2 linked regions of the Saccharomyces cerevisiae S288C genome follow. The protein of the gene in region 2 purifies or fractionates together with the protein of the main gene of each other region. This does not show direct contact. Each region holds a gene or a part of one and is shown on either strand. Other genes may lie near its edges.

Evidence for each region. The genes of interacting proteins can lie anywhere in the genome.
Region 1: the proteins of MCD4 (region 2) and CUE4 purify together in Saccharomyces cerevisiae (affinity purification with mass spectrometry, with the first as the bait; one large-scale study listed by BioGRID). This does not show direct contact.

Annotation. Positions count from the first base shown.
Region 1 is NC_001145.3:69,235-71,941, reverse strand, and holds CUE4 (Cue4p), read left to right. Parts: upstream 1-1,853; coding exon 1,854-2,207; downstream 2,208-2,707. Other genes in the region: TSL1 (trehalose 6-phosphate synthase/phosphatase complex subunit), read right to left, coding at 1-1,318; YML100W-A (uncharacterized protein), read right to left, coding at 1,631-1,804; CAC2 (Cac2p), read right to left, coding at 2,242-2,707.
Region 2 is NC_001143.9:136,203-144,510, forward strand, and holds MCD4 (mannose-ethanolamine phosphotransferase MCD4), read right to left. Parts: upstream 4,490-8,308; coding exon 1,730-4,489; downstream 1-1,729. Other genes in the region: PIR1 (beta-1,3-glucan linked protein), read right to left, coding at 5,592-6,617; PIR3 (beta-1,3-glucan linked protein), read left to right, coding at 8,199-8,308. UniProt on the Saccharomyces cerevisiae protein: Ethanolamine phosphate transferase involved in glycosylphosphatidylinositol-anchor biosynthesis. Transfers ethanolamine phosphate to the first alpha-1,4-linked mannose of the glycosylphosphatidylinositol precursor of GPI-anchor.

The DNA.
Region 1 (2,707 bases), on a different chromosome or scaffold from region 2:
TGTCTGGAATCTGGTAATGCAGCGTAGGCCACAAGATTTGTTTACAGTAGTTTTTGTATGCGGCTTTGAAGGTGTCGTCGTCCGTAAGGACAGGATAGGAGTCGTACTTGTCTTTTAAAGAGTCAGAGATGTTCGCAAGGATATTTTCCGGAATCTCATCCGTTGGGATTCCGACGGTACCGACCCACTTAACATGACGGTGCGGAATGATATTCTCCAAGACTGCAGTGTTTATGGCGTTCTTCATGGCGCCATTACCTTTGATAGAGGGAACGATCGACCATGGAAGACGGCTAAACAGCTCCTGAGATGACCTTAACAGCGCATATTTCTTAAGTTTAGATTTATTGGAATAGCCGCCGAACTTTGGAACCTTGTAGTCCTGCTTCGCGTCATCCATTTCCAAATCAGAAACATATTCCTCGTCAGGGGCAGTAGTTAGATCATCCGGGTCCGACTCATTATGCTGCGAAGACGTCTCACTCGACGAAATATCTGCTAACTCCGAATATTTCAGATTAGAAGGCTGTTTAGCCAATAAGGGACGCTGTTTTGCAGCAGACGCAGTCAAGTGGGGCGTAATCCTTTTAATGGAAGGTGGCGCAGAAGACCCAGAAGATCCAGAGGAGGCCGAACCTTGTTTGGTCCTATTAACTAAAGAAGTAGCCGCCGAAGTAGGCCTGTTGCCCGCCCTCGATTTCGGGGTAACAATGTGGTTGTTGGGTCCTTCTAGGCTAGTTTGTGAGGTGTTGTTCAACAGTGAGTGCACTAACAATGACTTGTTGACGTTCTTTAATAAGTTGGTCGTGGGGTCCTGCTGTTGCTGTTGGATTGGCGAAGCAATTCTCGAACCGGAGTCATGCTCATGCTGGATTGGCGATGCGATGCGATCCGTGGGAATATTGGAAGAAGGGGAGAAGAATCGTTCCACGGAACCATTTTTCCGGGGTTTAAGCATAGTCTTGCTTGTTGGCGTATGTGAGGTAGTTGCATTCGCAGTCAAGTTTTCCATGAATATGTCCGAAGAGACAAGATCATCTAAAGTGGCAGTATTTGTCGTAGACGAGGCGCGGTTGAAAGCACTGGGTGACCTGGTGGCACTCCTTGAGATTGCTGGGGGGACACCTTGTTCTGGTGCTGGCGCGACCAATGATTCCTGTGAGATGTTGTTAGAAAGCGCACGTTGTTGCTGTTGGTCATTGGCCATAGCCTGGATGTTCACGAGAGATGAGTCCACCTGCGAGTTCTCAGGGAGAGAGGTGTCAAGCTCGAATTGTGGTTGGTAGGGCAAAAACAAAGATGCCACGATGAGAGCCATTGTGTTGATCTTGCGTTGCTATTGTATTCTTTGCTTTGTTTGGTTTTTTAATCGACGGGTGGGTGGATGTGCAATGACACGGTAGATCCTTATATTTATAGTTACATTAGTATTTATATTTAAGCTTGGCTAGACGGGGGCCCCAGGGTGAGTGTGCTAGCCCCTTGGTTCTACCCCCTTCTCCTTCCCTAGGTAACTGACACCATAGCCGCTGCCCGGACCCCCGCCCCTTCCTATCTCCCTTCGGCGAGGGCGCCAGGCCCGCCAGCCGGACTTAGACACTTTCGAGCAAGCAATCCCAAATACGCCATATCAAAATGCAGGGGCGGGGTGACCCGCTTTTCTCGAAATTTCTATCTGGCCCTCTGTTTCGCCCCTTTTACCCTGAACGCGATTTTTGAGCGAGACGAGAAGAGCAGAAATTTCGCAATAAGTTACTACAATGGTGCCCGCTTTAGAATAATAACTCGGGACACATTTATACATTCCCACACACACAGACGAGGCACGGCTACCCACGCGCACAAAAGTAAAAATGGATGGATCGACTATAGTGTTTATACTGACGATGGTGTGCTTGTTTGTTTACACCGTGAAACACAGGGGCGCCAAGCAAGTACCCTCGCGAACCGTACAGGATGCCAAACCGGCGCCCTCGGTCGCCACCAACGACCCTTCTCCGGAGCCAGTACCATCGGCTCCGGAGGAACGCGTTGCTCGGTTAAACAGACATGGTAGTGATCGAAAGAGAGCCGTTAATAGTGACATGGTTGAAATCGTGATGACGATGGCGCCACATGTGCCTCAGGAAAAAGTCGTGCAAGATCTCAGGAACACAGGGTCCATTGAGCACACAATGGAAAATATCTTCGCTGGCAAACTAGATTAGGCATTCTTATGTACCGCATTAAATATATTAAAAATCACAAATCGACTGGCGTAGGATGTATGCGCCTCTTTTTACTATCGCTACTATTGCAGGGGATCTTCTTCACCGGCAGCATGTTCACGATCCCACCTGCCTCGCGCTGGTTCTTAGCCGCTACCGCGCTCTCGTCAGTGTCTAGTGGCTCTGCATGCATCGCTGGCGGCTCTATCCTTGAACCGAATTGCGTTTCTGTGTCGATCGATACATACGAACAGAATCCGTCTGTTGATGAGATTAGTAGGGTCGAGCCATCCTCAGACCATGCTAAATCAGTTATGGGTGAGTAATGTATATTTCCCACAACGCATAACGGCTCCAATACATCCGTGTCGTACACGAGTACTTCGTTAGTCGTTGCTATGGCAAATACTAGCTTATAGGGCAGCTTAAGCACACTCTTCTGGCACGTTTCGTAAAATACGGGCGAGAAAGCCGCCATCAGCGCTGGTTTCTTCAAAGAT
Region 2 (8,308 bases):
CAGAGAGTATCTGAAACGTTGACGCAATTTTGCAAAAATGCATAGTCGCTTTTCTTCAGACCTTCCTAAATCACTCGTACCTGGAACGACTTTTTGAAGAATGAAGTCGTTGTCCTCTTGAAAAAAATAGTAAATGATACGGTTGATCGGCCGGTGGCCACCGTCGTGACAAACCTAGGAACTCAATTAGGACCATGGCATATAAGTATATGTGGTCCAAGCTTCGCTGTGTAGGCCGTAATTTTGCCGGCATTTACTATATTGTTGACGAATAAGTGATAGATTTGCCATATTTATCCCTCCTAAAGCTCGGTAAAGGGAACTATCTGAGATGGATAGCTTGAAGAAAAAAAAATACTTGCTGATGGACCTCCATGTACAACTTTTGAAATAGTTGGGACATTAAATGGAGTATGGTATGCGGTTATAAAAGTAACTCCCCGAAGCTCACTTAGAGAAGAAATTGTCTTGCTAAGGTAATAGATCTTGGAAAGTTTAAACAATCGTCAATTTTTTCGCTCCTTAAGCAATTGATGTTGTTGCGTTATTTTCTGGCAACGACGACTGGCAGGTCATAGAGACCTACCCAAACCAATAAAGTCTCAAAAATTCCACTTTTCATCAAAAACTAAGGAATTAGTCTTCCTGCGGGCAGTGAATGCTTTTATCGTTATGACTTTAGTGCAAATTGTAGATATTTCGAATGCTTTTTGCATTTAAAAATGAAAATCTATGGCCATTTCTTGTTTTAAACTCATTGAACTTTCAAGGTAAATTCACGAGCAATATATTGGCATTGTCACCACGCTACAATTCGGTAAGTTTCTCGATTCAAACTAGTAAATACAACTATTGGAAGGGCACCCGGTGCTAAGGCGAGAAAACTGCTGATTGTGTACATTATTAGGTGTGATTAGGAAAAATGAACGCGAATAGTAATTTATTTCAAAGATGTGCTTTTTTTTTTCGCTGTATAGCTGTTACAAGACCTGCTATTAAAAAATTCACTAGCAAAAATTGCTAGTATAAAGCTATTGAAGTACTTGATGAGTTTAAATTTTTCCTTGCCGCCATTTCTTTCGACAGGAGTACTTTATCGAAAAGATAAAGGCAAAAGTTATATATTTTTAAAAACGCTCCAAATGGATAGTACTTAGACAAAGCTCAAGTAATGTATTCCTTAATGTGTCAAAATTGGCCACTATGGTTGTGATTATATTTGAATTAAACTCGTGAGAGTGTTGAAGTATTCAATTCAGTATCATTAAATGCCTCTTTTGTTTGTTAGTTCGAAAATGAGAAATTGAGACATAAAATACTGTCTTCAAACAATCGGAAAATAACACATTGATTTACCATCACAGAAGATTTTTACCTCAGTACAGTGTCGGTGGCCAACGTGTAAAGACTTCTTATATATCCGAATTTTTTTCTTTTCAGATTTATTTTTTAGAATGAATTCCAAGACCTTGATTCCCTTATTCTTTTCTCCGCAATAGTTGCCTACTAACTGGGCATAACTTAAAAGAAGCAGATAATAAGATAACCGGAAAAAACAGGAACATTTTCTTTGATACATTTCTACTAACTTGAATAAGGTTATAGGTTAGTATTTCCCCTTGATTTTGCCTCCTTTGAGGCATTTATAGAATTATTCAACAGGTAGATTGCCCCTGTCTTTCTTAATATACATATAGGAAAATATATACATAGCGGTGGGTATGTGAATCTATTGTGTTTTTTTGGTTTTATCCTGTATGATGACATTTTTTAGCAACACATGACCGAGTACTTCCAAAATAAGCATGAACAAAGATGATAGGATCGCCAAACAATAGTTGGAAATGGTTATGCCAATATCCAACCACGACCCCTCCGTTCTTAAAAGGTAGAAAAAATTCAACGACAGAATATCACTCATGGAAATAATTAATGATGAGATTGTGTAGTCCTTGAAGTTAAGTTTTAAATTCAGTATACCTAGGCATGTGGACAATAGCCCGTAGGGAATTATCAATTTCAACATCAATAATGCGCCCATCAGGAAAGGATCAAAAATTGGCAACAATCTACAAACAGACTCCAATGAAAATGAAGAGATTGAAGCGACGTTACCAGTTCCAAAGAATGCGACTTGAAGTAAAAAGAACCCGATTACTGAAACTCTTAGCACTTGTAACCAATTTTCATCTTTTTGGGTCTTCATTTCTTTGATTTTGTTCTCAATTTCAATCCATTGTACCATGTAACTAGTGAACAAGAAGTAGAAAAGGGATTCGAATGATATAGTCAAAATGATAAAGGATGGTGCGAAGGTTAAATAAATGATCAATAATCTCACTTTGTAATCATTGTTGGGCTTCCTATAATGTAAAATTGGCATTACAAAAAGAGATACAAAAAAAATTATCCATCCAGCGACCTGTGACTCTCTTGGTAACCCTTGTCTTAGCTGTAAAGAGATAACTGAACGATGAGTAACCGCCAACATGGCAGCCACCAAGGAAATTTGAATGGCAAATATAGCACGCGTGTAGGAATTTATCCTGGAATGTATTTTGTAAAGAGCATAAAAGGCACTGAGAATGATTAATAACCCTGCTAGATGTATCTGGTTCAAGTCCTCAATTTTAACAGCGTCAAATAAGGTAAATGTAGATAAAAGAACACTAGTTATGATCCACAATATATTCACGGATAGCTCTCTCACCCCACAAATAAACGGGTAAAACGCCAATATATTTGTAATTAGCGTAAACGTCCATCTATGGAAAAATCCATATACAATTCCCTCATAAACTGATATAATAGAGATTGTTATTAAAACTCTTTTCCAAGGAGAGGTACCTTTGAAGAATTCCTTGATACCTGAACGTAGTACGGATCTATTTGTAAAAATATAGCTCCAAAAGTATAATGGGAAAAGAAGGTACATGTAAAAATTGAACGGAGAATGTTGGTAGAACAAAATCCAATTTAGTAAAATTCCTATGGAACCAAATACTGCATGGCTTAATGGTGACGCTTTTTGGTCATCAATTACATTCTCTAATATGAATGATTTCAAAAATATTATAAAAGAAAAAAAGATCCACCCAACAAACCCAAATGTAACAATAGTTCTAATGAATCTCCAATTATAGGTTGTCAAATAATGTAAACCTTCCAATGTTATCTGCATTAATTCCTCTGTAAGGGTGATTGCTTCTTGTTCCAAATAGTTTTCTCCTTCAGATATACGCTGAATTAAGGTTTCTATCTCTTCTAAGTAATGTGAATGAGACTTTTCAACAAACTTGAAGTATTCCTTATAAAAAAATTGAGAGTCTATTACCTCATCTTGCTTGACTAAGTACTGCTCTAAAATGCTTCTTGCGTTGTTGTACAATGCGGCAAGCTTGTCACTTTCTTTTCCATCGATATATGCTATTGGTAACTCACCAACTGAATTTTTAGGATAGTTCACACCAATCAAGTATGACATTAAAGAAGCAATATCTGCTTGCTTGACATCATTTCTTTTAATGCTCGAAAGCTCCCAATTTTCAGTATAGTTGTCGGATACCGGAAAAGGATTATGTACTGGTTTATTCAAACCCGCACCCCAAGCAACAAGAGGGGTCCTTGTGTTGTTAGGATGACCGTCACCATGTGATCCAAATGCACTCATACCATGATCTGCTGTAAAAATAAATGCGGTTTTGTCGTCCGCAAAAAACTTGTTGACTTTGTCTATAAGGATAGGGATTTGATCATCAATATATTTGACATTGTCATAATACTCGGCAGAATATGGTCTATAAGAATGTCCGGCAGTATCGCAACCTAGTAGATGTAGAAAGAATACATTACCGTCTTGCCTAATTTCATAATCCAATGTTGAGTTCAGTGTGGAATTGTGGAATAATTGATCCAAGTGTCTAAAGACAAAAGCATCCAGCTCGATGGAAGATTGCGTAAAATCCTCGAAAGTATGATCATACATCCAAGTGTCAACTTTATTTGGGTCAGAAGCGCCATCTTTGAACATAGGTAAAATGTCAGGTGAACCGAATGAATAAGTATGAGTAGATTGGTTGAAAAAACTATCGAAATTGACAGGGTTTGACTTCCAACCTTTTGTGACGGCACTAACATCTTCGTAAAACCCAGCAATCATAGCAACATGACCAGGACGGGATTCAGTTGGCATTCTGGTATGTGATATACCGTAGGTGGCATTATTCATTACCAAAGATCTAATAAAAGGTGCCAGAAATTCTGTTTTTCCGGATACTGGATGAGTGACTTTATCAAAAGTGGTATCTGCACGTAAACCATCACCGACAATCAAAAACAATCTCTTTGCAGGAGGGGTTGGAGTACTTTGATATGGGCTCATACCATGAACGAGCGGTGAAATGAAATAGATATCAAAAATAGACCATAGGTAAAATAAATGAAATAAGACACCAACAGCCAGAAGCGTCGTTCTGGTTTTGTTCCACATTTTTTACAGATTTCAGTTGTATGAGTCCTAAGGCTCTTCAATGCTTTGGTCGAAGATGGGTTGTTGAATATATAGTAAAGAACGGTTCTTTTTACCTTTAAGGTTTTTTTTTCGCGTTTAATGACAGCGATGCAAAAAGAATACACATATTATTTACGTGGCATCAACATATACATATTCAACGATTAACATCCTGTAGTTTAGGACGAAAAGACACATATGAAATACATATCTATGAAAAGTACTGCACCATAATGATTCAACAAAATAAAATGAGTAACATTAACATCACGCTAGTACTGCTAGATTAAAAATAATAATGAAAACTCCGATACGGGGAGTCGAACCCCGGTCTCCACGGTGAAAGCGTGATGTGATAGCCGTTACACTATATCGGATTACAAAGGATAGAAAATTGAAACGTAATGGAATTACTCATGTAAATATTAAAGAACTCTTTTCATTTACATGGATAATTGGTGAATGTTGTGGGGAATGTTGGATTTCATTGCTGTTAAAGGCTATAATATTATGTGTACAGAATACACCGTGTGTGATAATATACTAGTAACACGTATACTACTAAATGGATGATAATATGCATGTCAATTTTCTTAAATTTTGACTGAGATAGTGACGAATATATGGCATTATAAGATGACAACAATTTGTTTCCTTCTCAAATGAGAAAGGGCTCCACGGTACACAAAGTAATGTCTGAGAAATATTCTGTCCCAGGAATAGTTGAAGTTGCATCCGATTTCAATCCCGTGAAGTCTTGGTACTATCAAATTCGTTGGTTTTTTTTCTGGGAAAACTCTATCAAAGTATAAGGTGCGCTTTTAACGTAATTTATAATGATTTTTTAGAAATAATAATGTATATAGTATAAAAAAATAAACAAACTTTAAAAAAAAGAGTGAAGAACTGTAAAGCTCATTTCATAGGTTTCAAAAGAAAGCTTTATGAAATGAAGAGACGAATTAAGAAGAAAAAAATGAACCGACCCAAATTATGCCCTTTGGAGACAGAAATGACTAATGTACAGAATATGCTACGATGACTTTATGTTTTCATGCGACTATGAGAGGTAAACTTATGATTAACAGTTGAGCAAATCGATAGCTTGTAGGTGGACTGCATTACATTGAGTTCCAATGTGCTCATCGTATAAGTTGTAGAAGTTTCCTGACAAACATTGGTAAAAAGTATCCTGGTCACCGATGGCCAAGTTACCTTCTGGGGTGATGGACCAACCAGCAGCATAGATAGCACCAGCTTGTGGTGGAGGACCATCGAATTGGAATTGTCTGTTGGCAACGATAGAACCAATTCTACCTTTACCGTCAGTCAGGATACCACCCTTTAAGTTCATTTCTAAAGTGCCACTGCTTTTACATGTTTCAGCAGTTACTGGGTCAGTGCCATTAGTAATTGGAGCTGGAGCTGGAGATGGTATAATGGTTGCAGAAGTTAAAGTTGTGGCTTGGATTTGGCCATCAGTGATTTGGGAGACTGGAGCAACAGTAGTATTGGTGGTGGCTTGGATTTGACCGTCACCAATTTGAGAAACAGCAGCAGCAGTGGTTTTAGTAGTGGCTTGGATTTGACCGTCACCAATTTGAGAGACAGCTGCAGCAGTTGTTTTGGTAGTGGCTTGGATTTGACCGTCACCAATTTGAGAGACAGCAGCAGCTTTGGTTTTAGTAGTGGCTTGAATTTGACCGTCACCAATTTGGGAGACGGCTGCAGCGGTAGTCTTAGCTGAGGTAGTCTTGGTGGTGGCTTGGATTTGGCCGTCACCAATTTGAGAGACAGCAGCAGCTTTGGTTTTAGTAGTGGCTTGGATTTGACCGTCACCAATTTGAGAAACAGCAGCAGCAGTGGTTTTGGTAGTGGCTTGGATTTGACCGTCACCAATTTGAGAGATAGCAGCGGCTCTCTTAGCCTTGGAGGAAGCAGTAGTGGCAATTGGTTCAACAGCAATACCGAAAGTAGAAGAGTAATCAGTTATACCACCCTTGTAAGTAGCTGATGGAGTTAAAGTGGACCACGGGTCCTTTGGAGCATAGGCAGCTAAAGATGTAGCAACTAAGGCGGAGGCAACTAATGATTTTTTGTATTGCATTTTCTAGAATATACTATTAGGGGAGTTTTGTAGTTTGTTTTTTTTTAATACCAGTGTATTAACTTTTGTTTTCTTGATGATATTATTCTTATACAGTAATAGAGAAGATAGGACAACTATGCATAAAGTAGTAAAGATCTTGCTCCTTTTTATATGTGAGAATTGTAGCATTACGATCTTCTTATTGAAAGAATAATTAGTATACCAGCGTTCTAATATTTGGGCAGGAGAGATTGACTGGACACAGTCTAAACCCTTTCAGATACATGGGCTAAATGATGGTCCATCGTATTATTAAAGCAAGTAATCGAGCTCCAAGAAGGATTTACGTCCGCCATCTCAATTTCTTTTATTAGCGTTGCTTCTATAATTGGCAGGACATAAAAAGGCTGCTAATAATAAATGATGATATAATTAAGAGCAAGCTGGCCGATCTCTCCATTTTTATGCGCTCCAAGCCACGTCATTTTCCGATGACAGGAATGCTTTGCATATTTCATATGAGATATACATTGACTCCTTTTCGACCAACCGTTTCATTAAAGGGGCAGCAGCTGTCAAAAAAGTAGCCGAAAAAGGCGTCTGGCTTCGAGGAATTATTACCTAAATAGGAAAGGCAGAATATATTAGAAAAAAAAGAAAAACCAAATGAGAAAAGTGCTGGTGCTAAATAAAACATTATTGAGGGGCCAAGAGGGGACAAAAGAAGATATAACTAGATCATTAAGTTTTCGCTCTAGTAACAGGAACAAAGATTGTGAGATACACTGTTATGCTAAGAGACGGTGCGATATTCTGTACGAAAATTATTTAACTATTAACTAAATGTATACCACTTCACGTGCCACCGAGTAGGTTTCTAAAATGTGCAACCATTTTAGGTATGTGCGCAGCTCTTTATTCTAAACGGGAGTCACTACATTACTATTATCGTGTTTTTGCCCATGTACTTTCTTATAATCTTAAGACAACAACGGGATGATAGGCGCATTCGGACTTTCATTGATGCAAATGTGTGAAAAATGCATCCAAAAGACAACTTTTGTACAGAATACAATTGCAAAAATACTTTACGGGCATAGATCGGTAAGGTCACCGGGAAGCTAGCGTAAGAGACCTTATTCGGAACCGAGCAACCATTTCCGAATGTAGTAGTAGTTGAAGGAGTAAATCGACCTTATTGTACACTACTTCCTTTAAATTTGATTTCTGGCCCCGCGCAATTTCTTGGCGGTTAAGCTGTATTTTTACCTCATCGGGAAAAGTTATTGCAAGTTAAAGGGGATCAAACGATTAGCAAACTAATTATAGATCAAAGGCCGAGGGCTTTCTAAATTTGGCATATTTCGCCGTCGACTGAAATAGAAGGGATAAATCATGCATCTCCAGGATTATCCCTACTCCATTCATTACAACATGCGCCAAATCAAGCCTATATAAGATTCTCGTCATTTAGCATGCTCTATTGATTTGTGTCTTGTTTTGTCTAACACTGAAACTGTAACCTAAGATTTCTTTAGATAATTATTACATTTACATCAATAAGAAATCTCATAAAACAAGTACTGTTTATAAGTAAAAATGCAATATAAAAAGCCATTAGTCGTCTCCGCTTTAGCTGCTACATCTTTAGCTGCCTATGCTCCAAAGGACCCGTGGTCCACTTTAACTCCATCAGCTACTTACAAGGG